2 linked regions of the Chlamydomonas reinhardtii genome follow. The protein of the gene in region 2 binds, or shares a complex with, the protein of the main gene of each other region. Links are inferred from orthologs where the notes say so. Each region holds a gene or a part of one and is shown on either strand. Other genes may lie near its edges.

Region 1 (14,802 bases), on a different chromosome or scaffold from region 2:
GGACGAGGTGACTGCTGGTGGCGGTGGCGGTGGGGTGGCGTCCGCCTCCCCGTCCGTGTCGGTGGCACGTCGCTCAGTCAGCCTGCCGCTCAGTGAGCCGCTGGAACAGGCGGCAGAGGGGGAGGAGCAGCAGGCGGGGGTGGCGGCGACGGCCGTAGCAGGATCAGGCTCGGGAGCAGCAGGGGGCGCCACGGCGGCTGCCGGGACGGGTGGGGACCGCGGATCCGCTGGTCCGCCCGGGCTGCGGCGGCGGTCCAGCGGCTCCATGCGGGTGGCCGAGCAGCAGCACCAACAACATCAACTGCAACAGCTGCAGCGCCAGTTGTCGCCGCGCACATTTAGCGAGTATACATTCGCGGACGCGGCAGCCGCGGGCGGCGGCTTTGGCGGCCGCACCTGGACCGGCAATGTGGTGCCGGCGGCGGCGGCGGCGGCGCCCAGCGCGCGGGCGGGAGCGCTGACGTCTGCGGAGGTGCTGCGGCGCGGCGGCCGGCCGCCTGCGGTGGGCGTGCCTGTGCCTCGGGCGCTGCTTCTGGTGGAGGGGGTGCCGCTGGCGGACCTGCAGCAGCAGCGCCGGTCCATGAGGCTGGGCAGCGGCAGCAGGCCGGGCAGTGCGGCGCCGCCGCCTGGGCGGGAGGGCGCGGGGGCAGGGGGCGCGGGGGCGGGGTCATAGTAGGCGGGCCTGAGGCGATGGACTGGGAGCGGATGTATGTGTGGGGGGCTGCTTACGCATGGAAGTGGGAGAGGGCGCAGAACGAACGAGCGGGTAGCTGCGAGTAGCACGTTGGGGGAAGAAGGCAACCATTGTGACGAGTGCGAGCACCACCGCAATATGTGGTCTCAGCAGCAGCATTGCGAGGGGGCGGGTTGGGGCATGGGGCGTAGCATTGCTTTCAGGCTGGCACTTGACTCTTGTGACCTGTGGGCGGTGTGTTGGACCTGCCCGTGGACCTGCCTGCGTGCGTGACGAAGTTTCTTGCATTTTGCACCTGAACATGTTAATTGTTATGTATATTATACGGCTCAGTATTATCTTCTTACGCTCCTCCGCTCTTCTTGAAATCAAAGCCCCGCGCCTTGTGCGGCGTGAGCGTGTGCGTGCAGGCTCTAATCCCAGCCAAGCGCAGTAGAGTGGCGTCAGAGCGGTGGGTTTGAGGAGTTGCTGTAGACGCTGCATGGCGCACCACCACATGTGGCATTCCCTTTGTTGTCAGAGCGGCGCGGTTTCGAAAATGAAAGTGTATAAAAGCACAAGGCAGGGTTTCCGGTCTTTCCTCTGGCTCGGGCGTCGCATTGCAACTGTGCGGCAGCAACATGTTACGGCACCAACAGACATGTGGCTGGAGTATCACGCGCCGAAACCCTGAAGCAGTCTCAGGTCAGGGGGGGGTTGTAGATACAGGGGGGGGGGGTAGTTTCGACTGGGAAAGGCCCCATGTTCTAAAACGAAAGAGCTTGACGAGAGGACTCCAAATCCACTTTCAGAGTTTCAATCAGGGTAGTAATTGCAAAGTTATGGGCCCTCAAAGTTCAGGGTCGGTCGTCGGGGCTGGGGGTCCCCAAGGTTTCGTCACGCGGATGTGGGTGGGACTGCCAGATTTCGTCTCTGCGCCCTAAACGCCCCTCTAAACGCTCCGCCCATTAGCACAAGCACTAGCACACATTAGCATGCACATACTGAAGCATTTGCAGAACGTTTGGCCTCTGGAAAGCGGCCGCATGTCCGTCCACATCGGCATCGTAGTAGCGTAGAGCCCCACTCGAGCGTCTCTCACTGGTGTCATGGAGACTATGCGAACTGATTCTGACTTGTAACGGCCAAGGCTTGGTGTGGGTCATGGCGACAAGGCTGCCGCCGGCCATCGAGCGTGACATGAATCCCGGGATTCTTCACATGATCCCGGGAGAAAGTCGACCAATCTCTTCCGGCACACAATCCCAAACATCATATGTACAGCGCAATTGTAAGCTTAAGCGCACGCCCCGGTAGTCTGACAGAAGGGTCGGTGGTCGGCCATGGACACATGGACATGTGTGGCATGGCTGCCAGTCAAGTTGTGCCTCCAGCTGAACCGGAGGTATACAATTGTAGAGCTCGCCGAGAGCAGTCGATTGACACCGGCCTGGCTAAAAACCAAAGGGTTTTGAGGGGGGTCGGGAGGTTTTGGGACATGGGGTCTGGAGGTTTAGTTCGTACAATCGTACCCCCCCCCCTGCTCAGGTTGCCGATAAATCCAAGGAATATGGCTCACGCCCACACTACAACAGTACTGACTACGGTACAAGGTTTCAGGGCGAAGATCTTCCGGACTCGCCTCATCTCCTTGGCATAGCTGGGGGCGGTTTTAACAGGCACCACCAGGCAGGCCAGTTGTCCACTAGTCCTCTCAGTGTACTGTACATTCCCTAGCCTCCGCCCGGGGACCAAATTGACCGAATTGATCCAATTGACAGGCGACGGCGGTAGTTTCCGACCTTTACTGGCCAGGCACAGCCTTCGATGAATTGGTTCCCGCCAAATTGGTTCCAGTGCCGCCGGGCCTCATCACTGCACGCCTACTGCACGCCTACTGCCCGCCGACTGCTCCCCCAGCAGCGCCGCCCGCCCGCCGCACTTGCTCCGCCCCCCGCAGCTCCGCCACCTCCGCATCGAGCTGCTGCAGCCGCGTCAGCCTATCCGGCAGCTCTGGACTCACGCGGCTGGCCTGTGGGTGCAGGGGGCCCTGCCGCGTCTGCGGCTGCTGCTGGGGCGCTGCAGCGGCACCACCACTACCGGCGGCACCTGCAGCCCACGCCTCCCGCCACAGCCGGAACAACACCTGCGGTTGCGCATGGGCGGGGAATGAGGGGCGACGGGTGGAGGAGTGCGCTTGCAGGCAGGCAGGCAGGCAGGCAGGCAGGCAGGCAGGCAGGCAGACAGGCAGACAGGCAGACAGGCAGTGCGCATGTAGCACATCCGTTCAGTGCTGTTGCCACCCCGCCCCACCATTTGCACAGCGGCCTTCAACACCTCGTCCGCCACCGCCTCTGACGCCGCCACCGCCACTGAACCCCTTCCACCGCCGCGGCCACCACCAGCGAGCGTCATGGCCGCGTCCAGCACCTGCCTCGCACTTGCCGCCTCCAGCTGCGGCAGCAGCAGCCCAGCACCCATCTCGCCTGCCCCCGCACCACCAGCTGCTGCTCCCTCCAGAACTCCCACCGGCAGCAGCGGCGGCGCCGCCGGCGGCCCCACCTCCGCCTCCGCAGCCGCAGCGGGCCGCCAGGCGCCGTGCCACAGCGTCAGGCGCTGCGGCAGCCCCAGGCTCCTCACCACCGCCTTCAGCTGGGCTGCCGGCATGGAGCGCCCGTCCAGCCGGCACAGCTCAACGGCGTCGCTGCGGTCCGCCAGCGCCGCCAGCGGCTTAGAGGGCTGCCCCGTCAGCGTGTGTAGGCGCAGCAGCGGCAGGCGCTGACCCGCCGTGAGCACGCCCCGCAATATGCCCGCCATGGGCAGCATGCTGCCATAGCCGTGCAGCCCGTGGTCGGCCGGCGCGTGGGTGAGGGCGGTGCTTATGCGGCTGATGATGACGGCGCGCCCCGCAGCCGCCCCGGCGCCGCTGTTGCGGCCGCTGCCGCCGCCGGCCCGGGCCGTCGGCTCAAAGTCGAGCTCGAAGGGTGTGAAGGTGGCGCCCATCACCCAGCCCGCCAGCCCCAGCCGCCGCAGCCCGCGGGGGCGGTGGCTGCTCACCACACACTCCACCAGCTGCCCGCCGATGGTGGGGTCGCGGCAGGCCAGGTAGAGCTCCTGCAGCTGATGCAGGCGCGACAGCGCCACCACCACCTCTTCCGTCAGCTCCGGCACAGAGTCATCCGTCTGCCGAGGCCAAGCACGGAAGTCGTGCCCCGCCCAGGCATCCAGCACGCGCAGGGAGGCGCAGCCCGCCAGCGCGCCCACGCCCTCCAGCGCGTTCCAGAAGCGCAGGCGGGGCAGGGCCAGGTGCATGACGCTGCCAGCCGCCGCCTCCGCCACCGCACCATACAGCAGCTCCAGGTGCTCCCGCTCCACGTCGTAGGAGCCAGCCACCCCGCCCAGGACGCCCCAGCAGCCGGACAGGTCCAGGACCTCAACGCGCGGCAGGCGCCGCAGTAGCACGCCGACGGCCTCACCCGGCGCCTCACAGTCTGTGGACACTAGCAGTAGACGCGGCGCGAGGCGCCGTATGCGGGACAGCGCTGCGGCGCTGCAGCCCGCCAGACCCAACTCGACCAGCTCCCCCAGGGAGGTGGGCTCCGGCTCCGGCGCCCAGTGCGGCTCCGGCCTCGGCTCTGGCCCTGGCTTCGGCCCTGGATCCCGCATCAGCTCGTCCAGGTCATCGTCATCAACATGAACGAGAGTTGTGTAATTCAAAGCCTCGCTGTGGTCGATCAACTCGACGGTGAGATCCTCGCAGAACGGAAAGCGCGCAAGTGGCGAGTGGCCAAGCTGCTGGTAGAATGACATCGCGGCTGCATTAATGCGCAGCCTCATACTGCGCACTAAGGGGTCGTGCGCGTCGCGCAGAGCCCGGCTGGCAAGGCGGCAGGCCGCGAAGCCCCCCGCGCTATCCAGTTGCCCGCCTGCAAAGAGGCCCGGCACGGCCTCCGGAACCAGGCTTCGGATAATGTCATCCAAACTTGGCATAGCATCGTTGTGCTCTGCGCTCATGGCCATATGCGGGATGTTTGGCGACAAGCTGCGGGAGCGCGTTAACATGGAGGTACCTTGATCGCCCACTGCAGCCTTAGGACGAGCCCACTATTTGCTGGTACGCTATGACCTTTAAATCCTGAAGCAGTGCGAGTTAAGGCCTCCTTATAGTTGATTGCGACATGCAGCGCGTGATTTGCGCCCGTATGCAAAGCACGGAATGTGCGTTAATTTCATGGATTGTTACGCGCCGAAACCCTGAAGCAGCCTCTAAACGTGGAACGAGCCATATGCATGCGGCGCGCGCGCAGGCAGGCGCAGCGAACTGTCCCCGCGGCACGCGCGCAGAACGTGGAGTCTGGCCCCTTCACGTTCGCTGTCTCACCCCTTTGTCGTGCGTACGCAGGGAGCCCCATGGAACAGTTACTGGTGCCCTTTAACCTGGTTAACATCAGTCGCCTTCTCCCCTGAGAGCTCGCAGAGCTCGCAGATTCGGATTCTACAGGCGCTACAGGTAGGCCCAATTGGCCCAACAGGTGCGCGCGTCTGCGCCGCCCCAGGTCACCACCCCGTTGTGCCGCGCCCACACAGCGCTGGGCAATCAATGGGCTCTCAGCAATCCAGCATGGGCAAATTACATGCAATTGCTGATGTGGTCATCAGCCTCATCAGCTCATGAGCCTGCTCAGTGCTGCAAGAGCAAGAATGCACACACCACGGCCCGTCGCGCATTCTGTGCAGTTGTTTGGTCCTGTTGCTCACGAGAAATCAGTCTCCACGCCCACGTGACCGCCCGACCGCACTCTTGGTGCTCGGGAAACCAGTGCCCGTGACCCACGCCCCACCGCACCCGACACAGCTAGCACTCGGACGCCTGTGCGTCGTTGGAGCTGGGCTGCTACCTGCTTAGCCTGCGTCGCCCTGCATCCTCCGCCCCGACAGGTCCCAATGCCCCTCCCTATAGCACAGCCCACATCCCTGCCATGCCTCCTGCACGTCCGTCTATCTCCTCCCTACAGCTCCTTCCCCCGCCCCTGCTGCTGCCTGCTACCGCTGCTGCCGCTGCTGCCGCCTGCGACTCCCTCTCACGAGGGTGGCGGGTAGTTGAGCGCCTGGCGCTTCACCTTCTTGACGTACTCGGCCTTCTGCTGCGTGAACAGCACGAAGGCGTCGGACTGGGCGGGGCTGCCGGGGTTGGGCGTGTCCAGCAGCTCCTGGGCGGGGGGTGGGGGGTGGCGGCAGCGCAGGGAGGGAGGGGGAGGGGACACCAGGCAGGGGAGGATTACAGGCGCTGCAGGGTTGTGTGGGCGATACAGCAGACCTGGGGCGTGGCGTCCGTCGCGTTCACACGCCCATGGCAAACCAGCAAGGCCCCTGCCCAGCAGCCCCCCGCCCTCCCCAGACCCGCCCCAGCCCCCCCGCCCACCTGGATGCCCAACAGCAGCTGCTTGATGGTGATGGAGGGCCGCCAGCCCTCGTCCTGGGGGCAGCGCGAGAGGGGGAGGAGGGGCCCAGGATGGTGTGTGGGGTCAGGCGGGTTCCGGGATGAATGGGTATATGCAAGGTCTCCATTGGATACGAGCGGTCACCATGCTGCAGTTCCACTCCAGCGGCAAAGGACTGCGGCCGCTCACTAGATCGCCTGGCTTCATTGCGAGGAGTACACCACGTGCTTCCCTGCCCCCCCCCCCGAGACCATGGGTGCGCCGGCCTCACCTCGTTGAGGATGCTGAGGCACACGGTACCGGAGGGGTAGATGTTGGGGTGGAAGAAGCCCGCGGGGAACTTGCACTGCGCAGGGGCAATACACACATATGCACACACATCAATGTCCGTGAGCGCTGGCGGTCTGATGACAGGCTGGGGGCCAGGGGCACGGCGCCGTGTGCAGGTGCAGCGGGGCGTCGGCGTGGCGTGTGCTGTGCGCTGCATGGCGCAGCAGACACATGGCAGGCCGCGACACAGGACCCCCCGTGCACGACCGCCCTTCCCGGCCTCAGCCCGCACACAGGCTTCCACGAGTCGCTGGTCAGCAGACAGCCACCGGCCCAGCCTCTTTCCTTTCCAACAATTGCCCCGCCCCACCCTTCGCGTCCGTCAGCCCGCACCCGCCCTGTACCTCGTGCTCCACTTCACCTCCTAAACCCTGCTACCCCCCAATTCCTCAAATCCCCCCACCCCACCCTGCCTGCCTCCTGCCTGCCCTCCCCAGTCCCCACCTTGGGCGGCTTGGTGGGGTAGTCCTCGCTGAACTCCATGGTGAGCGGGTAGAAGCCGCCCTCCCAGTCCGTGCCTTGTTTCCCGGGGATGTGGCACTTCCACTTCATCAGGTTCACGCTCCTGGGCGGGGGAGGGGCCGGGGCAAGGACGGCAGGGCCGGGGCGACTGATCGACCTGTGCGCTAGGACGGCAGCGGTCACCTGCGGGTCTGGACTATGGCTGCGTGGTGTTAGACGATAGCTCTGCTGCGAGTCAAACCCTAGCTGCGCACCCGGCCACCATCCGGCTGGGTCGCCACTCGTGTGTGGAACCACGTTACGCTAACCCGTCCAGGTGCCCTGGCATGGGTGGGCTACTACGACACCCCCTTCCCCTCAGACACACGCCCACGCAGGCACCCCTTGCCCATGCCCACACATCTTAAGTCGCGCTTATGAGCAGAACAGCTGCCTGGGGCCTGGGCGGAGGCCTGGGTGGGCCCAGGCCCTTAGTGCACCACTTGGCGGGCTGGTGCCTGAAGGCTGCGCTTCCCCGCTTACCCGTCGTCTGCGGTTTCTGGTCGAGCATGGAAGCCGAACGGCTTATCCCTCCGCCAGGCTTTCCGCTCCTCTTGCAAGCGTGAGCGTGCGACGCCAGACATTTCAGCGGGCTCGCAGCTGTGGCTCCTGTGTTGACCCCAGCAAGATCCAAGGCTCTAACGTGCGCCCTTTGCTTGATGCAGGGGCTTACTCCCGCGTTGGCAAGGGTGGAAGCTTCGCGGGAAAATTTGTAGCTCGCTCTTACACAGCCAGGGTTTATGGGAAGACAGTAGATATATGGCTCTTTTATGTATTGCAGTGTAGCGTGTAGCAACAAACTCACTCAGCGCAGGGCCAACAGGATGGAGTCGATGCAGAGTCCCTCTTGAGATGGTGTGGACTCAGGGGCGCATACAGTATTCGTCTCAGCATACTCAGTCGCTAGAGGAACCCTGGCCCAGAACGCGATAGCGTTGACTAGTCACTGATTTCCGGGTGTGGGCGCGCTCCCGTGTGGCGCACCCTGAGTTTCACAAAGCCTTTCTTGAACCTTAAGACCAGCCAAAGATGTGGGGATGGGGCGCGGGTTGGGGCGCGGCCACGACCGCCACCCCCAGCGCGACTGCTGCTGACAATTACACGGACAAAGACGCGTTCTGGTACCTCACGCCCAGCGAGGAACAGAAGGCTGCGCTTAGCAAACTCCGCGAGCAGCTCACGGCGGAGAATTTAATAGTGCCGGACCACGACGCCGACATTACTTTGTTGCGCTTCCTTATGGCGCGGGACTTCAACGTGGACAAGGTGTGAGGGGGCAGGGGAAGTGCAGGGGGAGGAGGCCTAGGAACGGTGCTGGGAAGGATAAAATGAGGAGGGGCTTGGAGGGGGAGTAACGCTGTGGGGGGTACTCAAACCGGTAGTTGGAACGCGGCTACAGCCGGTCGCACGCACCAGCTCCGCCACTGCACTTCTGCATGTCTGCTACCTTCATTTGTAATCTGGAAGTCCGCCAGATCATTTCTGACGCGTGTTTTTACCGCTACTCGAATTGTGGGCGGCCACTGCCAGGTTCTTCGGCTGCCGCCTGCCACTGCTGCCCCGTCCTCACTCCCCCTCCACCCCCTCCACCCCCTCCAACCCCCTCCGCCCGGTTCAGGCCCTGTCCATGTACCGGGACATGCGCGCCTGGCGCCAATCGGAGGGCATCACAGGGCTGTACCGGGACGACCCCGCGGGAGAGCAGTTCCCGGAGATGGAGGCGCTGCTGGAGGTGGGGCGGAATGCTGGAGGGCAGCTGCGGGGCTGGGGGGAGTGACCGAAGGAATCAAACGCAGTGGTGATGCGCTGGACTGCACTGAGGGGAGGGGGCTGGGGGGCTGAGGGGAGGGGCCTGCGGCCTGAGGGGAGGGCTGGGGGGGGGCTGCAGGGCGATCACGGCAGGGGCGGGGCGGGGGAAGTGTCGTGCGAATGCGTGGCTGCCGGGTGAGCACCGGAGAAAGGCGGTGTGTGGAGCGGGAAGGGCGGGGAGAGCTGCACCAGCTACACACTACCAGCAAAGCTGCGTGCACGTATATTTGAGAGGCTGTGGTAGTGCCGGGGTGCTAGCTGGCGTGCTACTGCAGTGGTGTTGGCTCGTGCGCTGCTGGGTCACGGCTTTGGCAGACCTGGTGCCGACCTCCCCTGCCGCCGCGTTACTGACGCACATCATGCCTGCCGCCGGCCCCTGCCGTCCCCCGGCCCCTGCCTCCCCCCGATCCCTCCGCAGGTGTACCCACACTTCACCTTCAACACTGGTGGGCGACCGGGGGACAGAATTTGGGGCTATCGTGCGGTATTGGGGCCGCCGCCGCCCGGCGGGGCTGAGGGAGTGTGTGTATGTGTATCGTGTGTGTATGTGTTTTGAGGGGGGGAGGGCATTGCCGGCGTGGCCACACGGCAGCAGTCGCGGTCGCGGTCGCGGACTGGGCCGCTGGCAGCACCCTGTCCAGCGTGGCTGCAGCCCAGCGGCCAGGACCCCGGCACGCCTCACACCTCACGCCGCATGGGCAGGAGACCCCTGGTTGCTACATAGCGGCATCTCAAACAGTGCGCGCTCCCTCACACACATGCGGTGCACCCATTGCGCCCACAGACAAGTTCGGCCGGCCGGTGTATGTGGAGATGCTGGGGCGCACGGACGCCGCCAAGCTGTTCGAGGTCATCTCAGTGGAGCGACTCATCAGGTGGACCGGGAGGCGGGGGGCGGCCCGGGGGGGGGCGCCGGTGTGGCGCCGGGGCGGATGGGGTCCACGTGCCGTATGCGCCTTCCAATGGCTCTGAAGTCGGACTGAAAGGAAGAGGTGATAATGGGTCTGAAGCGTACACGACCAAAGCCGTTGGAGTTTGACCCCGTGCGGCTCCTCCCGAGCGCGGCGCGGGCGCACCCTGTGTGCCCTCGCCCGCCACCTGCTGACGCGCCTGTTGCCTCCTCCTCTGCCGGCCTGTGCAGGTACCACTGCTGGACCTGGGAGCGATACCTGCGCTGCTACCTGTGAGTTAGCAGGGGGGCGGGCGGGCGGGGGGGGGATGCTGCTGGATGATGGATGCACGGGCACGGGTTTCCAGCGCACAAGTGGCGGGTTGCAAAGATGGTACAGAGAGGTGCAGCGAGGCAGACCGCAGGCGTGGGGGCGCGCGTACCGATGGGGGTGGGGTGTAAATACCAGCCCAAACTAAAGCAAGCCAAGCTAAAGTAGCCCGATGGGGGGGACTGACGAAGAGAAGAACCGGTTGCGGTTTATGATCCGCAAATCGGGACGTGGACGAGTTGCATGTGGGGTCCCCCCGGCCACCATCTTCCACACTCCCGTGACCCTGCCCGCTCTTCCCCTCTCGCCTGCGCCTCCCATCCCCTCCTACCAGCCCCGCCTGCTCCGCCGCCGCGGGCCGCCCCATCTGCACCACCACCGTCATCATCGACCTGGCCGGCCTCAGCCTGGCGCACTTCAACGCCGCCACGCAGCGGCTGCTCAACACCTTCTCCAAGATCGACCAAGACTACTACCCGGAGCACCTGGGTGAGCAGCGCGCCCGCAGCAGGGCCAGGGCAACCCCCAGCCGACACGCACACGCAAACATGTACCTATACATATACACATATACACTGCACCTGTTTCTTTGACTTGTGCAGATGTGTTCTCTTGATACACCACACGGCCCCACACATACACATGCGTGGTTTCCTTGTGCTCTGCAAAACACACGCGCACGCACGTGCCCCTCACACCCCGCAGGCACCATGTTCATCATCAACACGCCGCTCATCTTCCGCGGCATGTGGGCGGCGGTGCAGGTGAGCCCGGGTGCAGGCCGGGCACCCGCAGCGGAGGGGAGCGGCCGCTGCGCGTGTCTTTGGGCGCGGCCTAGGGCGAGCGCCGAGGTTGCGCGCGGCCCCTCCTCTTGTCCTTGACGCCCCTATTCCCCCGCCCCCCCTGCCCCCGCCCCCCTCTCTGTCCCTCTCAGCCTCTGCTGCAGGAGCGCACCCGCAAGAAGATCATCATGCTGGGGGCGGACTACCTGCCCGAGCTCACCAAGCTGGTGCCGGCGGAGCGGCTGCCCGACCTGCTGGGGGGCGGCGGCAGGATGCAGCGCGGGTACAAGAGCGTGGGGCCGTGGAGGTCGCCCGACCCCGCGCAGCAGCGGGAGGAGGGGCCGGCGGAGGTGCAGGCGCAGGCGGAGGCGGGGCAGCAGGATGAGGACGGGGCGCGGCAGGGAGCGCAGCAGCTGCAGGAGGCGCCGCAGGTGGGGCGGGAGGGCGTGGTGGTGTCCATAAGCACGGCAGGGGATCTGGGCGCGCCGGAGGGGGAAGGCGGGAAGGGCAAGGCGGCGACGGTAGAGGCGGCGGAGGCGGAGGTGGAGACCTCCGTGGGTGGGAAAGTGGGTGAGGTGGCCGTGGCGGCGATGGCAGCCCTCACTGTGCAGGCATGAGCAGGGGAGGAGGCGGACCACAAAGCTGGCAGGCGCAAGGCTGGTATGGGGTTCAGCAGTTTCAGTGGCCTTACATACGGTAGCATCATTTTCTTGATTGTGACGTAGAGTACCGTAGTACTGCTTGTGCTGTGAATTTGGGGAGCGGTGGCAATAATCCCGGGACAGCCACGGAGCCGCACAATGCGTGTGGCATGAACCTTGCACATGCACAGGGGTCGGACTGTCGGAGCCTCGTCGTGGGGCGTTGATATCGGGCATGATGGAATGAGCATAGCTTACATTGTGGCACTGCGTTGTTCTTGGCAGCGCGACGTTGTTATGGTTTGGCCACTAGCACTGGTATTACGGTATGCGGCTGGCGATAATTTGCGGCGGCAGCGCACGGCCGCAGAAATTGGCCGCATAGTTAGACCGGGTTTGACATCTCGAACATTTGGACTACGTCGCGGGCGCGGGGGCGCAGGTGTTGCATAAGGGAGGCACGGCCCGGATGGCACACGGAGCGCAGTAGAGGCCCCCACTCAGGCTCGCCAGGGCTAACGTTGCGGGGGGAGATTTGACTGGACTGTGGGTGTGATGCAAAATGGGCGGGTGGGCGTAACAATTTCGGGGACGTGTCCATGGATGGAAGCCCGCGCAGGTGAAATGGTGCAGGCAGGCAGCAACCACACAGCCTCTCGAGATCGGTCGATAAGCAGGATTGCGGTTTCAAGTGGAGGGGTTGATTCCCCCTCCCCTAAGCGGTCAGCTGTCGGTCGGTCAGTCCCTGGGGTCCCCGAGGGGTTTGGAGGGGTGGGGTTGAGCACTTGCTCCCCCCCCCGGCATAGCACTGATCAGCACTCCATACGGAATAAGGTCTTTATGGGCGCGGAGCCGCGGACCATTACGTTGGTGTGTGACAAAGCTGACGTGTCATGAACGGAACAAAGGTTTGAGACAGGGACGGCCTCTGCTTGCGGCACTCTCACTCAACACACGCCACGGGCCGGCGTGCCAGACAGTTAGTGGTTTGTGTGTGGACTTTGTGGCGCGTCAACCCCTCGCTATCCTGTGTCACCATATGGGACGTGCAAACGGACGGAAGGTATACACAGATTGAGAATGAACACGAGCCCTGCGCGCCTGAACCTTCCTTACACACTTCACACACGCCCTGCACTGAGCGCGCGCCGGCGCTAGGTGCAGCTCATAAGGCTCACGACACATATTGTCGCCACTCCGCTTCCAACTGCCTTGCCCCAATTTCGACCAATGCCATCTTTCATTATCCAATCTCTCTCTTCCAGTCATTCTCTCGTCAGCTGCCACTCACTGCCAGCCTGTCTGCCCACCGCCGCAGCCCTATGCGGCCGCCACAGCTCCACCCGGCCCTGCTCCCGCGCCTCCGCATTACACGCACGCCTTGCTCATCATGCCCGGCTTGAAGAAGCCGGTGACCGCCAGCACCTGCACCAAGCCCACCAGCAGCAGCAGGCCAACCTGGAGGGCGGGGAAGGGCGGGGAGGGGTGGGGGTGGGTGGGGGAGCCAACGGGGGGCAGGCGGCGGCGTGCGGCAGTGGCGGCCAGCCAAGGGCAGTCAGGACGCGGGTGTGCCGCAGGGGCACGAGGGCCCGCACCCGGCGCGAGAAGGGCGTGTGTGAAGTTTACACCTCCCCTCGCCGCTACTGATGTGTGTTCACGGCAGTCCCAACCCAACGTCCTGGCCCCTCCCCCCCTGTCTATTTCACTACACTTCTCTGTACCAATCTTTGCAACCCCCCCCCCCACACACACACACCGCCTAGGCGCAGGCGCTCACCTCCAGCCCCGTGTAGAACAGGGTGCGGTCCCGGTTGCTCTCCTGCAGCGGGGGTGACGGGGGTGGGGTGGGGCGGCGGGACAGCATGGCATGCGAGGCGTGGTGGGCCGGGCGGGTGTGTGGAGTGTAGGGTCACAGGTTGTAAGGCACTTCCATCCGGCACAGATGTCTACCTAGCCTCCCAGTCCGCCCACCTTCAGGCCCTACACTAAAACACACCAGTACACCACCCGTACAACCCCACCACGGACGGGTACACTCCCTACTTCCCATGCCGTCCCCACGCCCCCACCCCACCTCCTGTGGGCCCCCACCTCCACCTCCACCTCTTAAGCCCACCCCGCCCCTCCTCCCGCACCATGGTTTTCTGGTGCCTCTCCAGTTTGCGCTGCAGGTACTTCTGGCTGCCGGAGATGACCTGCATGAACTCGCTCATGCCCAGGATGGTGCGCTTCACGTCCTCCATGTGGTCCGTGCTGGCCACCTCCTTGTTCCTGGAGGGAAGAGTGTGTGTGTGTGCGTGTGCGTGGGGAGCGGGCAGGGGAGGAAGGGGATAGAGCGGGCAGCAGGTTCGCAGGTTTGGCAAAGGCTCTGTGGCTACGTGCCCCCTGTGTCCAGCACTGTGTTGAGGCGTGAAGGCCTGTGCGGTGCGCCCATTGTCAGCAGCAGCGCACGCGCCGCATGGCTCCACACCGGCCGCCGCCCCTGGTGGTCCCGCTCACAGCATCCAGCCAACCGGCCCCCACCCCACCCACCCGCCCCGCCCGTCTATGCCCCCACCTTTCCTCCTGCGTCCCCTTGGGGATCTGGATGCCTCCCCCCGCGCCCCGCCGCAGGTGCGCCAGTGTGAAGTACACCAGGTCCACATTGGCGTCCGTGCGGCTCTCCCAGGGGTTGTAGAAGCTGTGGGTAGAAATGGGAGGCGGGCGTGAGGGTTGAGGGGGCATGGGGTGGGAGCAGCCAGCCGTGAGAGCGAGGCGCGTGGTCAAGACAGGCAGGCGCAAACACAGCGCCTGTGCACGTTCGTGCTCGGCCCACCAGATGACGGGGCGCCTGGCCGGGGTTGCTAGTGCGGCTTGCCGGGGCGGTCCATGGCTTGCTGTGTGCTGAGGCCCGAAGCGGCTGCTCAAGCCACGCATGCGCCCCTTCCCATGCGGTGTCCGTGCAGCACTGCTGCCCCATCCCAGCCTCTGACCCCAGAGCCTGTGCAGCCGGTCCACGGCGGGCGCCCTCATCGCCGCGGCTGTGGCTGTGGCTGTGGCTGTGGCCGTGACCCCACCGCCTCTCGACGCCGCCCCCGCTCCGCCCCCGCATCCACACCCACACCCACACCCGCCGCTGCACCTGCCCATCCCATCACTGCACAGCCAAGCCGGGCACGGCGCGGCCGCCTGCAGCCCAGTCCACCTGCACCCACCACAGCCCCGCACCGGCAGCGCCTCCCCCCCACACCCCTCAGCACTCACCAGACCTTGTAGGAGCCCGGCCCCCGCGCCCCCACGTTGAAGTGGGTCTCCTGGTACACGTGCTGCTGCTGCCAGATCTGGTCGCCGGTTGGGCCCAGCACCTGTGCAGGCAGGCGGGGGGGGGGGTGCATGCCGTGAGCAGGCGGGAATGGTGCGGGATGC
Region 2 (14,871 bases):
ACATTGGCAGTAGCCGCCGCAGCTCCCGCCGCCACCGATGTGCCTGCCCCCTGCTGCTGCTGTTGCTGTTGCTGCTGCCCCTCCTCCTCTTTCCCCTCCTGCTCGTCATCGTCGTCGTCGCTGTCTGTGATGTGCAGCACGCCCGCCGCGTCCTCGGCCACGGCTGCCGCGGCCTTGCGCCTGGCGGTGGGGATACAGGAGGGTGTGGGGGTCGGGTGAGGTTCCATGCATGATTAATTAAGACGAGATGATGTTGGGGAAGGGGGCAGGGAAATTGGGTTGGGTTGGCGCGCCGCGGGGCGGTGGGGCAGGAGGCGCCGCGCGGCGGTGTACCTTTCGTGGCCCAGCTTGAAAGTCGGGCGCTATCACAGGGTCGTGGCAACAGCCGCCCAGCCAACCCGCAAGCAGCAGACGCCCCCAACAACAACACATGCGCACCCCGACCCACTTTGCCGCGGCCGACGGCGCCTCCTGCTGCTGCTGCTTGCCGCCGTCCTGCTCCGGGGGCGCCGGTGCGGAGGCCGTGGGCAGCGCCCCCTCCAGGATGAAGCCCTCGGGCGCGTCGTCGGGGGACAGGTCCTCCTGCGTGCGCGTGTGTGTGTGTGTGGGGGGGGGGGTTGGTCAGGCATAAGGTGAGTCAGAAGACTGAGATGTTGCGTGTTGTGCGGTGCACTGATGATCCTATGCGAAATCGCCGTGATCATGCAGGGACGGGGTAGCCATTCACGTGAAGAACGGGGGCGGTGACGCAACTCCCCTAACCTTACTGACAATGGGGGACCGCTCCCTAATCATTGAACCGCCCCTCCCCCCCTGCTCCCTCCCCTCTCCTCCTCCCCTCCTCCCCACCGTGTGCGCGATGATGACGTCCACGCCCCAGTGCTGGCTCTGGTCCTGCACCGTCAGGATGGCGCCGTGGCCCAGCCCGCCGCCGGGCAGGTCGCGCAGGGGCCGAGGCAGCAGCGCCGCGTAGGCAGCCTCCTCGTCCTCCTCCAGGCCCTCGCCTGTTGGGGGGGTGGCGGGGGGCGGAGTGGGGGGGGGGGGGGGCAAGGGGGGGTTACATTCATGATCAGTTAAGAAGTGAAGGCGTAGGGGGGGAAACGTGGGGGTTACATTCATGACTAGTTAAGGAAGTGGTAGACGGTGGGGGTGGGGGTAGACGGTGGGGGTGCGCGTGGAGGGCCAGCGGCGGGGGTGGAGCGGGCACGGGGAGGGGGGGGGGTGTTATGGAAGCCCGAGGGGAGAGGTTCGACACCGCGCGTGCAAGTTGTGAGGGTGACTACGCCGCATGTTTCTGTAACGTGAGTGTGAACGGAACAGCGCAGCAGCACCCCACCTGACGCACCCATCCACAACCCACCAGTATTCACATCGTGCGCCAAGCCCCCCCCCCCAGCCCTCCCAGCCCTCTGGCCCGCACCCCCACCTCCAACCCCCCCCACACACACACACACACTTCTCCACTCACCCTCCTCGTACAGGAAGCCGCCGCACATGAGGTTGGGGCTGTTGACCGCCAGGCGCTTCTTGATGACCGCGCCCACCAGACCAGACAGCGGCGTGGTCTGGGGGGGGGGGCGCAGCGCGGTGGGGAGCGTGTGTGTTGGGTGGTGCGGGGGACGTGATATGCCCAAGCCCAACAAACTAGGTCCCAATTGTCACAGGGGAGCCGTCCATGTAAGGCAGGGTGGTAAAACGTATGTAGGGGACAGGGGCATTGCGGCCCCCGGTGGGGGTCCAGGCACATTACACACACCGGTGGGGGCTTGTAAATACCAGCCCAAACTAAACCAAACCAACCGAAAACGAGCGGAGCACAGAGCAGAGGGCGTTAGGTGCAAAAGATAATACTTATGGAATGAGGGCCGATGCGTCGTGGAGCAGCAGGGCAAGCGGCGCCGGCGATAAATGTCGCCGCCCGGGCTCGATGGCACGCGCAACAGCACAGGACAGACACGCGGAGGCGACAAACAAAACCCACGACTTACCTGGGGGTCCAGGCACACCCCACACACCCCACACACACGCTCTCTCGACACACACACACACACACACACACATAAACACACACATACATACACACACACACACACACATACACACACAACAATCACTCCCCCCCCACACTCTACACACACACACACACACACACACTACGCACACACAGTGCACACACTCACACACACGGACACACGCCCGCCCGCCCGCACCTTGGTGTTTATGCGCAGGGTGAGCTGCGTCTTGCCGCACACCATGCAGCTGGGCCGCGGCTCCCAGGCGGTGGCCGGCACCACCAGCCGCCGGTCCACAGGCACTTCGTACAGGAAGGTGTTGCGCAGCGAGCCCAGGCAGCCTTTTTTGGGGGGAGGGGAGGGGGGGTTACAATCATGATTATTTAAGAAGTGAAGGCGTAGCCAGGTACAGTAGCATAGCAGACGCGTTTTTACCGACGTCCGTCCGGGGAGGGGGAAGGGAGTGTTGATTGATCAAGACCAGGAGATGTTGACAGGTTGTTGCAGAATGAAGGTGTGTTAGAGATCACAAAGGAGTGAAACACGTGTGTACATGCGTTGTAAAACTCAACCGGAAGGACATGTGTGCGTGTATGCGGCTTACGCATCTGAGGTGTGATACAACCCCCGGCCTATCCTGAAACCCAGCTACCCAACCCTGCTCCGGCCCCTCACCCGCCAGGATTTTGAGCGCCTCGGTGACGATGAGTCCGCTGACCACGGCGTTGGTGGTGGCGATGGCGTGGATGATGTTGCCGGCCATTCCCTTGGCGTCAAACAGCGACTGCGCAGGGAGGGGTAGGGCGAGAGCGGGAGGGAGGGGATCCCAGGCATTACCAGTCCGGATGCAGCGTTGAGGGTTTACATTCATGACTAGCTAAGGGGTTTATATGCCCGAGTCCAACGAAATAGGTCCCGACTGTCAAGAATGGAGACATTGAGGAAGGCAAGGTGAGGAGTGTGAAAAGGCAGCGGCAGTAACACTTCATACAATGGAGCAGCGAGCGCCTGGAAAGAGGTGAAGGTATTCACGGCACCGTCAAGACAGCGCACCTTCTTAACGCCCTTCGGTGCCTGCTTGAGTGTGTGCAAGCAAGCACCGAAGGACGTTAAGAAGGTGCGCCGTCTTGACGGTGCCGTGAATACCCCCCCGCCAGAACCTTCCGTTGGGACCTTACGGACCGCACGCACACCCTCGCCGGCCCCCCTGGCCCATCCAGGGCCCTTACAAGCAACGACGCATAGGAAAGCAGCAAGCACAAACACACACACACTGCGCGCCTTCCTAACACATCCATGCCGCCCAACACACGCTGCCCAACCCCCCCCCCCCGCAATCGCACGCAAGCACGCGCGCGCGCACGCACGCACGCCACCCCCCCCCCTGCTGCCTACCTCGCTACACTTCTCTGTACCAATCCTTGCAACCCCCCCCCGCCCGCAATCGCTCGTACGCACGCACGCACGCACTCATGCACGCACCTGCTCGGGGATGCCGTAGCAGCTGCTGCGCAGGTTGGATGCGGCGGTCACGAACTCCACAGCCAGGAGGTCGTCCTTGTCGAAGGCGGCGGAGCCCACCTGAACGGTGTGTGGAGGGAGGGAGGGGAGGAGGGGAGGGGAGCAGGGGAGGAGGGGAGCAGGGGGGTTGTAAATACCAGCAGACGAGGGGAGCAGAGGGGTTGTAGATACCAGCCCAAACTAGACCGAACCCAATGCATGGGGGGATAGCTGTTCATGCGGATTAAAATGATGAAAACACAAAGGCAAAGTGCCGACGGGGAGGGAAGCGGAAGGAAGCGGCCCAAAAGGGACTGAGTATACTCATATCGCAAGGAGGGTCGGGGGGCATGTGTTCGAGCAACGTGCAGGGCTGGGCACTGGGGCAGCGCACCCTGCGGTTGGTTGTCGTGACATTTCCCCCTTCTTGGTTTAACCGGTATCATACCGTACTTCAGCCGCCCCCAAACACACACGCGCACCTCGCTGGGCCGCACGGTGTGGTACAGCGCCGTGGCTAGCAGCAGCACTGCCGCGTTCTGGCCGGGAGTCCACTTCTGCACAGGGGGTGGAGCGAGCGTGTGGGTGTATGGGTACATCGCTAGTGTCGACGGCACCGTCGGTACCTTGAATACAGAACACGCACACACGCACACGCACACGCACATACACACACGCACACACATGCACACACACACACCTGCACATATACACACACACACACACACCTGCACATACACACACGCACATACACACACACACCTGCACATACACACACACACACCTGCACATACACACACGCACATACACACACACACACCTGCACACACGCACACACACACACACACACACACACACACACACGCACATGCACACACACACACACACACCTGCTCATACACACACACACACACACACACGCCGTACCTGGCTGGCGTTACTCAGCCCCAGCAGCTTGCACGCGCTGGCGCCCGCCCCCGCTCCCGCCTCTGCCGCCTTGTCCAGCGCCGCCTGCAGCGCCGCCCTCTCGGCCGGCGGCAGCAGCTGGTCCAGATGCAGCGCCCGGGGGGGCGGCCGTTTCTCCCACAGCTCCTGGGGTGCGTGTAATGTGTGTGTGTGTGTGTGTGTATGAATATGTAGGGGTGTCAGAGAGCACAAGGGAAGGAAGCACGCAGGACTGTACGTGTGTGTTGCGATGCGGTGCGACGCCCGCGTGTGTATAGGTTTTGTGTGCGTAAGGGGCGTCGCCAAACGTTCGTCGGCGGGGCGGGGCGGCAAGTGCACGCGGCGCACCCGCCCCCCACCCCCCCCCCCCACACACACCCCTCCAAACCTTCACCCCCCTCCAAACCTCCACCCCCCCCCACACACACACTCTACACACACACACCCCACCGCACCCACCTTGACCTCCGCCAGCCTCTGGATGTCGGTGGTGTACACGCGGCCAAACACACGCGCCGCGTACTCGAGCGCCGGTTCGCCGTCACGGCGCAGGAAGAAGGACGGGTCCTCGGCCTGCGCGGCTGCGGCGGCGGCCGAGGCGGCGGCGGCTCGCGCCTCCTCGCTCTGCTCCCCCGCCTCGGCTGCCCCCTCCTTGCCCTCGCCCCCTTCCTTGTCGCCCTCCTCCTGTTTGCCCGGCTGGCCGCCCTCGCGTGCCGCCTGGTCGTCAAGATCTGTGAGGGGTGGGTTTGGGTAAGGACGATTGTGAAGGATCGGTTTGGGTAAGTAGAGGCGCGTTGGGGCGGCACACATTGGGCTGGGGTTGTTGCAGATTTGACCTAAGGGGCTTCGCCTTCGGGGCTCTGATTCCCCTGACTGGGAATGGCGAAAACAATGCCCCCCTGCCCTCACTCGTGCGGCTGCGGCTTCTCCTTGCAGCGCTACTGTTTCCTTTCTAAATGGATTGGTTCAGACTTAAACCCCCCAGTCCTCTCACCCGACACGGCGTCCGGCGCGCCGAACAGCCTGTTGAACAGCAGGTCCTTGGCCCACACGATGGTGTGGATGGGCTTGTCTGGCGTGTTGCGCAGCGTGCAGATGGGGTAGGTCTTGGGCGCGGGCTTGGCGCTGCACTCGAAGCACTCGGTGCGGCCCTTGATGTGCACCGTCACCTGAGCACCAGGGGGGAGGGTGTTAGGAGAGGCGGGGGCAGGGCACAGAGGAGGGAGAGTGAAGGGGCGGGGTGGCTGCACAGCGGGGCGTTTGGGGGTGGCAGGCATTGGTTGGGTGGTAGCCAGGAACTGGGGAACCCAACCCATCTCACATGCCCTCGGCCGCATGTGTTTTTCAGGGGCGCGTACAAAACATGATGTGCTGCGCCATTTTACCTGCCCCGCCTCTCCCCCCCCCGCAACTGCAACTGTACCTGCCTACGACTTCACTTCTTAATTAATCATGAATGTAACCCCCGCCCCGCCCGCCCCCCCCCCCTCGCATATGCGGCTGCAGTTTCTCCTTGCAGCGCGACTGTTTCCTTACGGGATTGGTTCAAAGTTAACCCCCCCCCCCCCGCCCTATACACACACGCACACGCACCTGGCCCAGGTACCCCGCGGTGCCGCTCTCCACCAGCGGCCGCTCCGCCGCCAGACACAGCCGGTTCACGTGCCGCCGGGCCTGACAGGTGACAGCAACAGCGACAACGTGGAGGCAGCGTGGCGGCAGAGGGGGGGGGCAGCGGTGAGTCGTGCATGTGCTTGTGAACGGGCCCCGACACATCCTCCCATTCCGTGCCCCCGACAAAACCACCCCGACGACAAGTTCAAACCCACACCCAAACCCATCCACGGGCTCCCCCGCGCTCTTTGCCTCTGCATCTCACGGTTTGCTCTAGCTGTCCTTACTGCAATCCGTGGAATGGAAACAATCTCAACCCTCCCACGCACACCCTTCCACACACACCCCATGCCCCATGCGCCGCCCCATCCCTCCCACCTCCAAGTTGTCCAGGCCGTTGAGCACCAGGTCGAAGCGGCGGAAGAAGTCCACGTCGAAACGGCCCTCCTTGACGTTGGCGTGGTACGGCGTGATGGAGGCGCCGGGGCAGAAGCCCTGCGGGTGCACACACATACACACACACACACACGTATTATTTGGTAGGCAGGTTGTGTACTTGCTTCAGGCGTAAACTGAAAGCTTAGAAACGCGGCGGTGTCAACCGATGGAGCGATCAGCCACACCACAAGATACGGTACCGTTGTGCTCACGCCCGTGCTTGGGAACTCCCACCCGCCCAGCCGGTGACCAGCCGTCATCGTCGTCCGCACGGCCAGCCCGCAGCCCACGCCCCAATGCTCCCGCCCGCCCCCAAAACACACCACCACCTCCCTCCAGCAACCTACACTCCCCTGGCCTCACTCCCAACACACTCACTCCCCACACACCCCGATACAGCGCGCCCGCACCTGCACCACGGCCGCCGCGGTGTTGGCCTTGCTCTGTCCCACGTGGTGCTTGCGGAACAGGAACTGGCGGTTCAGGTTGGAGGTCTCAATGGTGTCAAGGTCAATCTGCCGCCGGGGGAACGGGGAAATCGGTGGGGTTGGCATGGGGTCGGCACGGGGGCGGCGGGGGCATATCCCTCAGTCCGCAAGAAGTGAGCCAAGTCAGCACTAGCGGTAAGTGCGTGCCCCCGCACCCACCCTCCCCAGCCCCACGGCAGCACACGCGTGTCACTGTAGCCTGTGCCTGTAGCCGCTCCGCCTGTTGTAGCTTGGTTTGCTTCAGTTTGGGCTGGAATTCACGATTTCCTCCCTACCAATCCTTGCACCCCCCCCCGGCCGGCACTCGGCAGTGTCTATCGTATCTCGGCCACGACCCCGCTGTGGCGCCCCCAGTCAAGTGTCAGCCCAGCTCCACGGGCTCACGGGCCTACACGCGTCCCGCCACCGTAAGGACGCCTTCGTAAGGGCACACCACCCGGGGCGCGGAGTCTTGCCCTCCCACGGCATCCTACACCCGTGGCTGTAAACACTTCAGGCGGCAGGTGCCAGCCCCCACTCCTTTTCCTCCCATGTCCGTTTACTCGGCCCCCCCGCCACGACGGCAGCTAGGGCCGCCTCACCCTTCCCGCTCACGTCTGCTTTCGGGGCAACACCGGCTGTGAGCTGGGCTGTAAGACCGCCCTGCCAACTTGGAGGGACCTCTCCACCTACCAGTGTCACTCCTCCCCCCGGTCGAGGCCCGGCCGACTCGGCCCCAACTCACCACCTCGATGTTCCGGAAGCCCGTGCACACCAGCGTCTTTAGCAGCTCACAGCCAATGCCGCCAGCGCCCACGCACAGCACCTTTGCTGACTTGATCTGCGACGGGTGCCCGCCTAAATGTCAGCCCAAGCGCAAGTCGCTTGCTAGCAATTGGTCCCACAGTGTTTAAAATACAAGGCAAGCCTACGAATTGCTAACCTTCTCCTTGAACTCCTTGGTTCGCAGCACGCCGGGCCAGGATGGCTCCGCAGGCGCCTTTGGGGCCTCCATCTTTGCTATGAATCAAACAAACTAGTTGATTAGATGGTTGAATTATAGCGGTCGATATTTAAAGTGCCGAGGGCGCGAGGGCGACTTTCGGGTTCCAGCGCCCCGCCAAGGCGCCAAGGTTATGCAATTGAAGGTATGAATACCTCACCTATGAAACGGAAATAAAGTAAAGTTCGCGGTCAGGCGGTTCGTCGACCGTGTCATGCGTGGCGTGCCCAGAGGCATGGGGCATCGGGGCCCAAGGTGACAAAAGCTTTGTGGAGTCTGCTGGGCCCCATTACAGGGGCACCTCTTGCCCGTCGCAAAGTACCGTATAACCGTATTCGAAGCGTGCGCACCGTAGCACGGCAGCAGCACAGCCCCTTCATTCCGGGGCATCCTACCGCCAGCAATTCCTGAACTCACGCCCTGCACAAAACTGTAACAGTCGTCCATACATCTGATACATGTCCATCTCCTGCACTCCTGAGTCTGCCTGCTAGCATACTGGCTGTCTGCCTGCAGCCTGCTCCCCCCCTATATCGTACATACCCGCCCGCAGTGCGTAACTGCGCCATGCATGTAAACTGTTTGGCTTCTCCTAAAGCCCTAAATGCGGGCCCATCCTGCCTCTGCCACGGCCCTGGACACACACCGGCACACACCGGTGCAGGAATACACCCACCCAGTACCGTATCACACCCGCCTTTGAAAGTCACGTACAACACCCACGCCCAGGATGAATTGGTCTTCTTCACACCGCACCCGTGCACCGCACCCCCGCACCCATCCACAAGACAGACACACACACAAGCCCCACACAACCTCACCACCCCACATTCACCACCTCCACCTCCAACACTCACCACCACACCCTGAATCACCACCCCTCCCTCCTCACCCCTCCCCTCCCCTTCCCCCCCCCTTCACCGCTTCGCCGCCACACCCAGCTTGCGCGCCCACGACTGCGCCTTGGTGCCCTGGTACCCGCCCCGCCCGCGCCCGCCGCCGCCGCCGCGCCCGCCGCCGCCGCCAGTGCCGTACTCCATGTAGCGGTAGCCGGCGCCGCCAGTGAGCGCCGCCATGTCGCCCAGCCGCCGCCGCGCCGCCGGCCGGCCGCCGCCCGCCGCCGTCAGTCCCTCGGCGTCCTCGTCGCGCAGGTGTTCCACGCCCGCCTCCTCCATGCCTGTGGGGGAAACGGGTGGGTTGGATTGGTTTGTTCCAATGACAGGATACCGTAAGCCATTGCCAGCCCAGAAGCCGTAGAGCGCGGAGGAGAGGGTTGTACTCGTGGGAGCGAGGGTGGGTGGCAGTGATGGGAGAGAGGGTGTGAACGGTGAAGTGGTCTGGGAGCAGGGAGCTGCCGGTGTGCTACTGCTGCCGAGCGCGGCCCTGTATGTCACTTCCCATCGCTCCCCGTCCCGCAACTGCCCCGTCCTTTCTTCCTTCCTTCAACCTCCCATTCTTCGTTGCCCTCTTCCCTGCCTCCTCCCTACCCTCCTCCCTCCCCTCCTCTCCCCCGCTCCTGCCCCCTGTGCTCCGCTCGTTTTCGTTGGGTTTGGTTTAGTTTGGGCTGGTATTTACAACCCCCTCCCCTCCTCCCCCCTCCTCCTGCCCCCCCCTCTCCCTCACCCGCCGACAGCACGCGGCTGAGCAGGTCCAGCTGACTGGGCCGGTCGCTGTACATGAGGCCCTCGCCGCCGCCCGCAGCGTCCAGCAGGTTGGTCACCACCTGGAGCAGGGGAGGCGAGGAGGAGGAGGAGGCGGAGGAGGGGTAGGAGCGGTATGACTGTCGTACGAAAGCAGTATTGAGATGACGAGGAAAGAGGATAGCGGAGGCGCAGTCAGGACATTATCATTCAGACAGACACACACCGCCGCCGCCACTGCCACTTCCGCCCCGCTCCCTCTCCCCTCCACTCATCCCATCCATCCACCCCTCTTCCCCCCACCCACCTTGAATGAGTAGCCCTGGTCGATGAGGAACTGCTGGCGCTTGGTGGAGTAGAACATCTCCTGTGGGGGTTGAGCGCATCAGGACCGGACACATACAGGACAGTCGGGACAGCTCGTGTGTGTGTGTGTGTGTGTGTGTGTGTGTGTGTGTGTGTGTGTGTGTGTGTGTGTGTGTGTGTGTGTGTGTGTGTTGGAACGGCGCCCAGCCCCACGCCTCCACACGCCCACACCTCCACACGCCCACGCCGCCACACGCCCACGCCGCCACACGCCTCGCCTCCACACCCCCTGCACGCACCTGGGTGTCGTTGGACACGAGCGTGTAGAAGAAGGCGTTGAACTGCCAAGGCGGGCGGGGAGAGGGGGGGAAAGAGAGGGGATGCGGGGTCGGGGATGTGGAGGGCCGCGGAGCAACCGGTGAGCAGCTGAGATACGCATGGCGGGGGCGGGGGCGGGGGCGGCGGCACGGACATGTCGGCGATTCCCAAACATGCCCCCACAATGCCGGTTGGACTCCAACGTCCAACTTTTATTTGCTGGGGCGGGATTGGTTGCTCTGCCACACGCCGGCGCAGCCCCACCAGACAGCATACGGTACTGTACACCATAGGGAAACGACTCCCACTGCTCCATTCCAAGCTCTCCGACCTATCTGGCCCAGCAGCCGACCCAATGCGCACTATGATCCGGTGCATCCAGAAACGTGTGGCGCTGTGTGTGTGTGACCGTCGGAACACACACGCGTGTGCCCCACCCCGCTGCCCTTCCTCGCGTAACCCCCAGTTTTCACGCAGCTATAAAGTTTTTTCATTTTAACTTTTTTCGAGATTGTTTTTCTCAACGCCAAAAAACGAATTATGAAAAATATTTCCTGGCAGTACGGTATCCCCCGCCCCCCCCCCCCCCCACACACACACACACATCACCGCACCACCACGAACAACACACACACACACACACACACACACACACACACACACACACACACACACACACACACACACAAACCCACACGCACACACACCCACACCCACACCCACACACGCACACGCACACACACTCACACGCACACTCCCACTGCCCCTGCCCCACCTCGCCCTCGTGCCCGCTGCCGGCCTTGCCGCGCTTGGCTCTCAGGATGCGGCCCAGGCGCTGCGCCTCCTGTCTGCGGCTGCCGGCGTGGCTGCTGATCTGGATGAGCACGTTGGCCTCCGGGATGTCCAGGCTGTTGTCACCCACCTGGTCAGAGGGATGAGGGATGAGGGGTGAGAGATGAGGGATGAGAGGTGAGGGATGGGGCGAGAGGGCAGGAGCAGCAGCAGGGGCAGCGGATGTGGTGGGAGGCATGTGGGAGGGATGTGAGAGGCACGTTGGGCTCTCAACACAAACACATACACACACACACACACACACACAGCAACACCTCTGCTCTCCCCCCCCCGCGCCGCACCTTGGACAGGAACACGGTGTTGATGTCGGGGTTGTGTTTGAAGGCGTGCAGCACGCGGGTGCGCTCGGCGTGGCTGGTGGGGCCGTAGATGAAGGGCTTGCGCACTGCCAGGGGGGAGGGGGGAGATAAGGGGGGGGGGGGGGTAGCCGTTCATGCGGAGAGGGGGTTACATTCATAAATACCGTATTCAAGAAGGGGGGACGTGTGTGGGGGGGGGGCATGGGGTGGTAGGGGTGGGTGTAGGCGGGTGAGGCGAGTGGGGGGGGCGGGGGCAGGGGGTAGGCAGCAGCATGGGGACACGGCGGCACGCACAGGTCGGCACTGCTGCTGCTGTTCCTGCCGGCGGCGGCGCTGGCGGCGGCGCCACTCACTGCGTGTGGCGTACTCGCGCAGGGCCCAGATGTTGTCGCTGAACACGATGCACTGTGGGGGGGGAGGTGGGGGGGGGGCGCAGTTGAGGGTTGGGGGATGGAGTTGGTAATGGGCTTGAGGTGGTATGAGTGTATGACCGGCGTCAAGCCTGATGTCGGGCAACCTTGCATTCGCGCCACGCCCTCCCCTGCCTCCCCGCCTCCTTTCCAACCCCCTCCCCCCTTCCTCTCCCCGTGCTTCCCCTCTCCCGCTCCGCCTCCCTCCCCTCCCCCTCCCTCCCCACCTTGTCTCCCCGCACTCGCTCGTGGAAGTCGATGAGGAACTGGCACGCCATGAACTTGTTGGGATTCATCACGTAAAGCAGCTGCTTGCGACCGCTGTTCTCCTTCTTCAGGTACTCCCTGCGGGGGGTTGGGTCCGAAACGTGTGTGTGTGTGTACTTGCGGTTTGGGGTATGAGTTTGGAGCTTCTACACGCGTACCGGCGTACCATGCACACGCATACACACACAGCGCCCCGTCCACCTCCGTACCCTCGCGTTTCCCTTCTCGCAGGCGCTCTTTCTCCCTCCCACGCGCCCCCCCCCTACACCCTCTCCTCCTCCCTCACCTCCCTGCACCTCCCCCGCCCCCTACACCCTCTCCTCCCTCCCTTCCCTCCCCTCCCTCTCCTCCCTCCCCTCCCCTCCCCTCCCCTACACCCTCCCTCCCCGCCCCCGCCACCCCACTTGCCCCCTCAACCCCCCTGCCCCCCCCCGCCCCCCTCTCTCTCGCCACCCCACCTGTAGAACTCTGCTGTCATGGGGCACCACACCTCGGCGCACTGCACGTTGGCGATGTGGCCGGCGCGAGTGAGGTCCAGCCAGTTGGCCTCGTACAGCTTGGGGCCTACACAGGGGGGGGAGGGGGAGGAGGTAGAGGGAGGAGGGGGAGGAGCAGGGGGAGGGGGAGGGGGTTGCAAGGATGTTTGGAAACGCAGTACAGGATGCGCTGAGGGAGGAGCAGGAGAGGGAGGGAGGGGGAGGAGCAGGGGGGGAGGGAGGGGGTTGACGCGCATGTGGCATGCCTCATGTCACACAGGCCTGCGTGCGCGTGTGCGTGGGGCCGTGCCAGCGCGATGACGCGTCCCACAGCCGCCACCTGCCAATCTCCTAGGCTGCGCCCTCCCCTCCCCTCCCCTCTCCCCTCCCCCTATCCCCCCCACCCACCGCAATCCCCCTCCTACCGATGAGGAAGTTGAGGTCTGCGATGCGCTCGTCCTCGCGCACCAGTGTGGCTGTCAGGCCCAACTTGCAGTGGCTCTTGCACGTGCTGATCACCTGGGGGGTGGAGGGGTGTGGGGGTGGGTTACATTCATGATTAGTTGAGTGGTAGACAGGGTGGGGGGGCAGACAGGGTGAGAGAGAGGGGCGAGGCGAATAGGGCTCAGGAGTGTTCTCCCTCCGCCATTCTGCCTCTTAATCCCCCCTGCCCCTTCTGCTGTCTGGTGCCTCCTTAGCCTCCTGCCTGCCGCCCCCGACCTGCCCTCAAACCCTTCTTAGTGGGGCTTGCCAAATCAGCACCCCTCTCCCCCTTCCCCCTTTCTCCCTAACCCCTTCTCCCTTCTCCCCTCTCCCCTTCTCCCCCTCCCCTAACTCCCCCCTCCCCCCATTTTCTCTCACACACACACTCCCTCTCCCCCCCACACACACACTCCCCCCGCCCCCCGCCCCCCCCCCGCCCCCCCCCATCCCCCCGCCCCCACCGTGCGGAACATCTGCGCGGGCACCACGTGCACCTCGTCCATGAGCAGCAGCCCCCACTCGCGGCTGCGGATGATGTTCATGATGCGCTCGCTCTCCTCGGAGCGCTTGCCGCTGAACGCGATCATGGTGAAGGTGGTCACCAGCACACCCGCCTCGCCTGAGGGGAGTTACATTCATGATTAATTAAGAAGTGAAGTCGTAGGGAGGGGGGAATTGGGAGGGGTAGCCGTGCATGTGAAGAACGGAGTGATTGTATCACAAGTTGGAGGTGAGGTTGGGGGTTGGGGTCCATGCACATTTGTTTCTCGGCTGGGTGGCCCCGTGCCTCGAGACAGAAGACTGGATTTTGTCGAACCGCAACAACAACACAACCGACAGAAGCACAGACACACACAGAGCGAGAGAGAGAGACAGCAACACACGCCCACCTGGGAACATCTCCTTGTTCTCAGATGTGAAGCGCGCGATCTGGTGGTCACCTGTGTGCGAGCGAGCGAGCGAGCAAGCAGATGAAAGCGCGCCAGCGAGCACAGGTGTTTGATGAGCCCTGCAGTCCAACGTACGGCATAGCACCCCGCGCCGCAGCCCCAGTCCCGCCTAGCCCCCGCCCTCCAGCCCACACCCATCCACCCACCCACCCCGCCCTCCAGCCCCCTCCCCTCCCCTCCCCCTTCCCCCCATCCCCCCCCCCCGCCCTCCCCCTTTCCCCCAGCCCCGCCCCCACCAATGGACGTCCACAGCTGGAACTGGTACTTCCACTGGTCCACCGACACACTGCTGGTGCACAGGCACAGGCAGCTCTTCTTGACGCGGCTGGCCGCAGCCACACCCACCAGCGACTTGCCGGCGCCGCAGGGGAGCACGATGATGCCGGAGCTGCAGGGAGGGAGGGGGAAGGGGGAGGGGGGAGGGGGAGGGGGGTAGCCATCCATGGGATGGTGTGTATCAAATATGAAGTGAAGTGCCGACGTCCAGAGGTACAGCGGGCACACGCGACGCATTCCATACCGTTGTTTCGCCAGCGGCAGGCTGCTGGTTCCCCCGTGTTTCCGTGGCGGCTAACGCTAAAATACTAAGTTCCTATTGAAAGCAAGTAGTCTGGAGTAGTAGTGGTGATAAGTAAGGCTCGTTGGTAAAGAAGCTGAGTGCATGCGTCTAGGTGGCTAGCTTAGCTGCTGCGGCGCGAAACCGGGACCCCGCGAACTCACCTAATCGCTCAGCAATGCAAGCCACGCCAGAGCCGCGCGCGCAAGGGGAAGCACACACAGGAAAAGGGCGAGCGGCAGTCAGGCGTGGCGGACTCAAACGGCAAACAGGCGGCACAGACATACAAGCAAACGTGCAATGCGAGTAGGGGAGGGGGGAGGGAGATGAGGGGG

The links.
Region 1: the proteins of CHLRE_06g296983v5 (region 2) and CHLRE_02g142000v5 are in contact, whole or in part, in a crystal structure (PDB 6GUM), measured with the Arabidopsis thaliana proteins. The link is inferred for Chlamydomonas reinhardtii from reciprocal best matches to the Arabidopsis thaliana genes SAE2 and SCE1. Residues at the interface, in NP_179742.2 of Arabidopsis thaliana: Leu469, Met471, Gly473, Asn474, Ser475, Leu476, Glu479, Val480, Gly481, Asp483, Leu484, Asp485, Met488, Asn491, Tyr492, Asn495, Pro504, Thr514, Glu516, Asp517, Leu518, Gln519, Lys525; in NP_191346.1 of Arabidopsis thaliana: Arg7, Ala11, Arg14, Lys15, Arg18, Lys19, Lys28, Pro29, Thr31, Asp34, Gly35, Thr36, Val37, Asn38, Leu39, Met40, Glu67.

The regions. Positions count from the first base shown.
Region 1 is NC_057005.1:7,833,844-7,848,645, forward strand, and holds CHLRE_02g142000v5 (uncharacterized protein), read right to left. Parts: upstream 7,714-14,802; 5' UTR 7,530-7,713; coding exon 7,429-7,529; intron 7,010-7,428; coding exon 6,889-7,009; intron 6,461-6,888; coding exon 6,386-6,460; intron 6,150-6,385; coding exon 6,096-6,149; intron 5,884-6,095; coding exon 5,755-5,883; 3' UTR 5,094-5,754; downstream 1-5,093. Other genes in the region: CHLRE_02g142100v5 (uncharacterized protein), read left to right, coding at 1-673; CHLRE_02g142050v5 (uncharacterized protein), read right to left, coding at 2,568-2,819, 2,987-4,663; CHLRE_02g141950v5 (uncharacterized protein), read left to right, coding at 7,975-8,211, 8,564-8,677, 9,173-9,200, 9,539-9,629, 9,896-9,937, 10,309-10,463, 10,680-10,738, 10,909-11,373; CHLRE_02g141900v5 (uncharacterized protein), read right to left, coding at 12,766-12,855, 13,175-13,216, 13,533-13,668, 13,955-14,077, 14,641-14,741. UniProt on the Arabidopsis thaliana protein: SUMO-conjugating enzyme that accepts the SUMO proteins from the E1 SUMO-activating heterodimer SAE1/SAE2 and catalyzes its covalent attachment to other proteins with the E3 SUMO ligases SIZ1 and MMS21.
Region 2 is NC_057009.1:7,060,743-7,075,613, forward strand, and holds the start of CHLRE_06g296983v5 (uncharacterized protein), read right to left. Parts: upstream 8,132-14,871; 5' UTR 7,992-8,131; coding exon 7,920-7,991; intron 7,818-7,919; coding exon 7,722-7,817; intron 7,025-7,721; coding exon 6,920-7,024; intron 6,567-6,919; coding exon 6,450-6,566; intron 6,132-6,449; coding exon 6,051-6,131; intron 5,627-6,050; coding exon 5,452-5,626; intron 5,189-5,451; coding exon 4,917-5,188; intron 4,605-4,916; coding exon 4,440-4,604; intron 4,070-4,439; coding exon 3,995-4,069; intron 3,594-3,994; coding exon 3,495-3,593; intron 2,797-3,494; coding exon 2,688-2,796; intron 2,354-2,687; coding exon 2,211-2,353; intron 1,566-2,210; coding exon 1,469-1,565; intron 1,005-1,468; coding exon 850-1,004; intron 583-849; coding exon 449-582; intron 181-448; coding exon 3-180; intron 1-2. Other genes in the region: CHLRE_06g297016v5 (uncharacterized protein), read right to left, coding at 8,897-9,156, 9,603-9,702, 9,927-9,986, 10,225-10,266, 11,019-11,165, 11,377-11,480, 11,748-11,799, 12,032-12,149 and 5 more.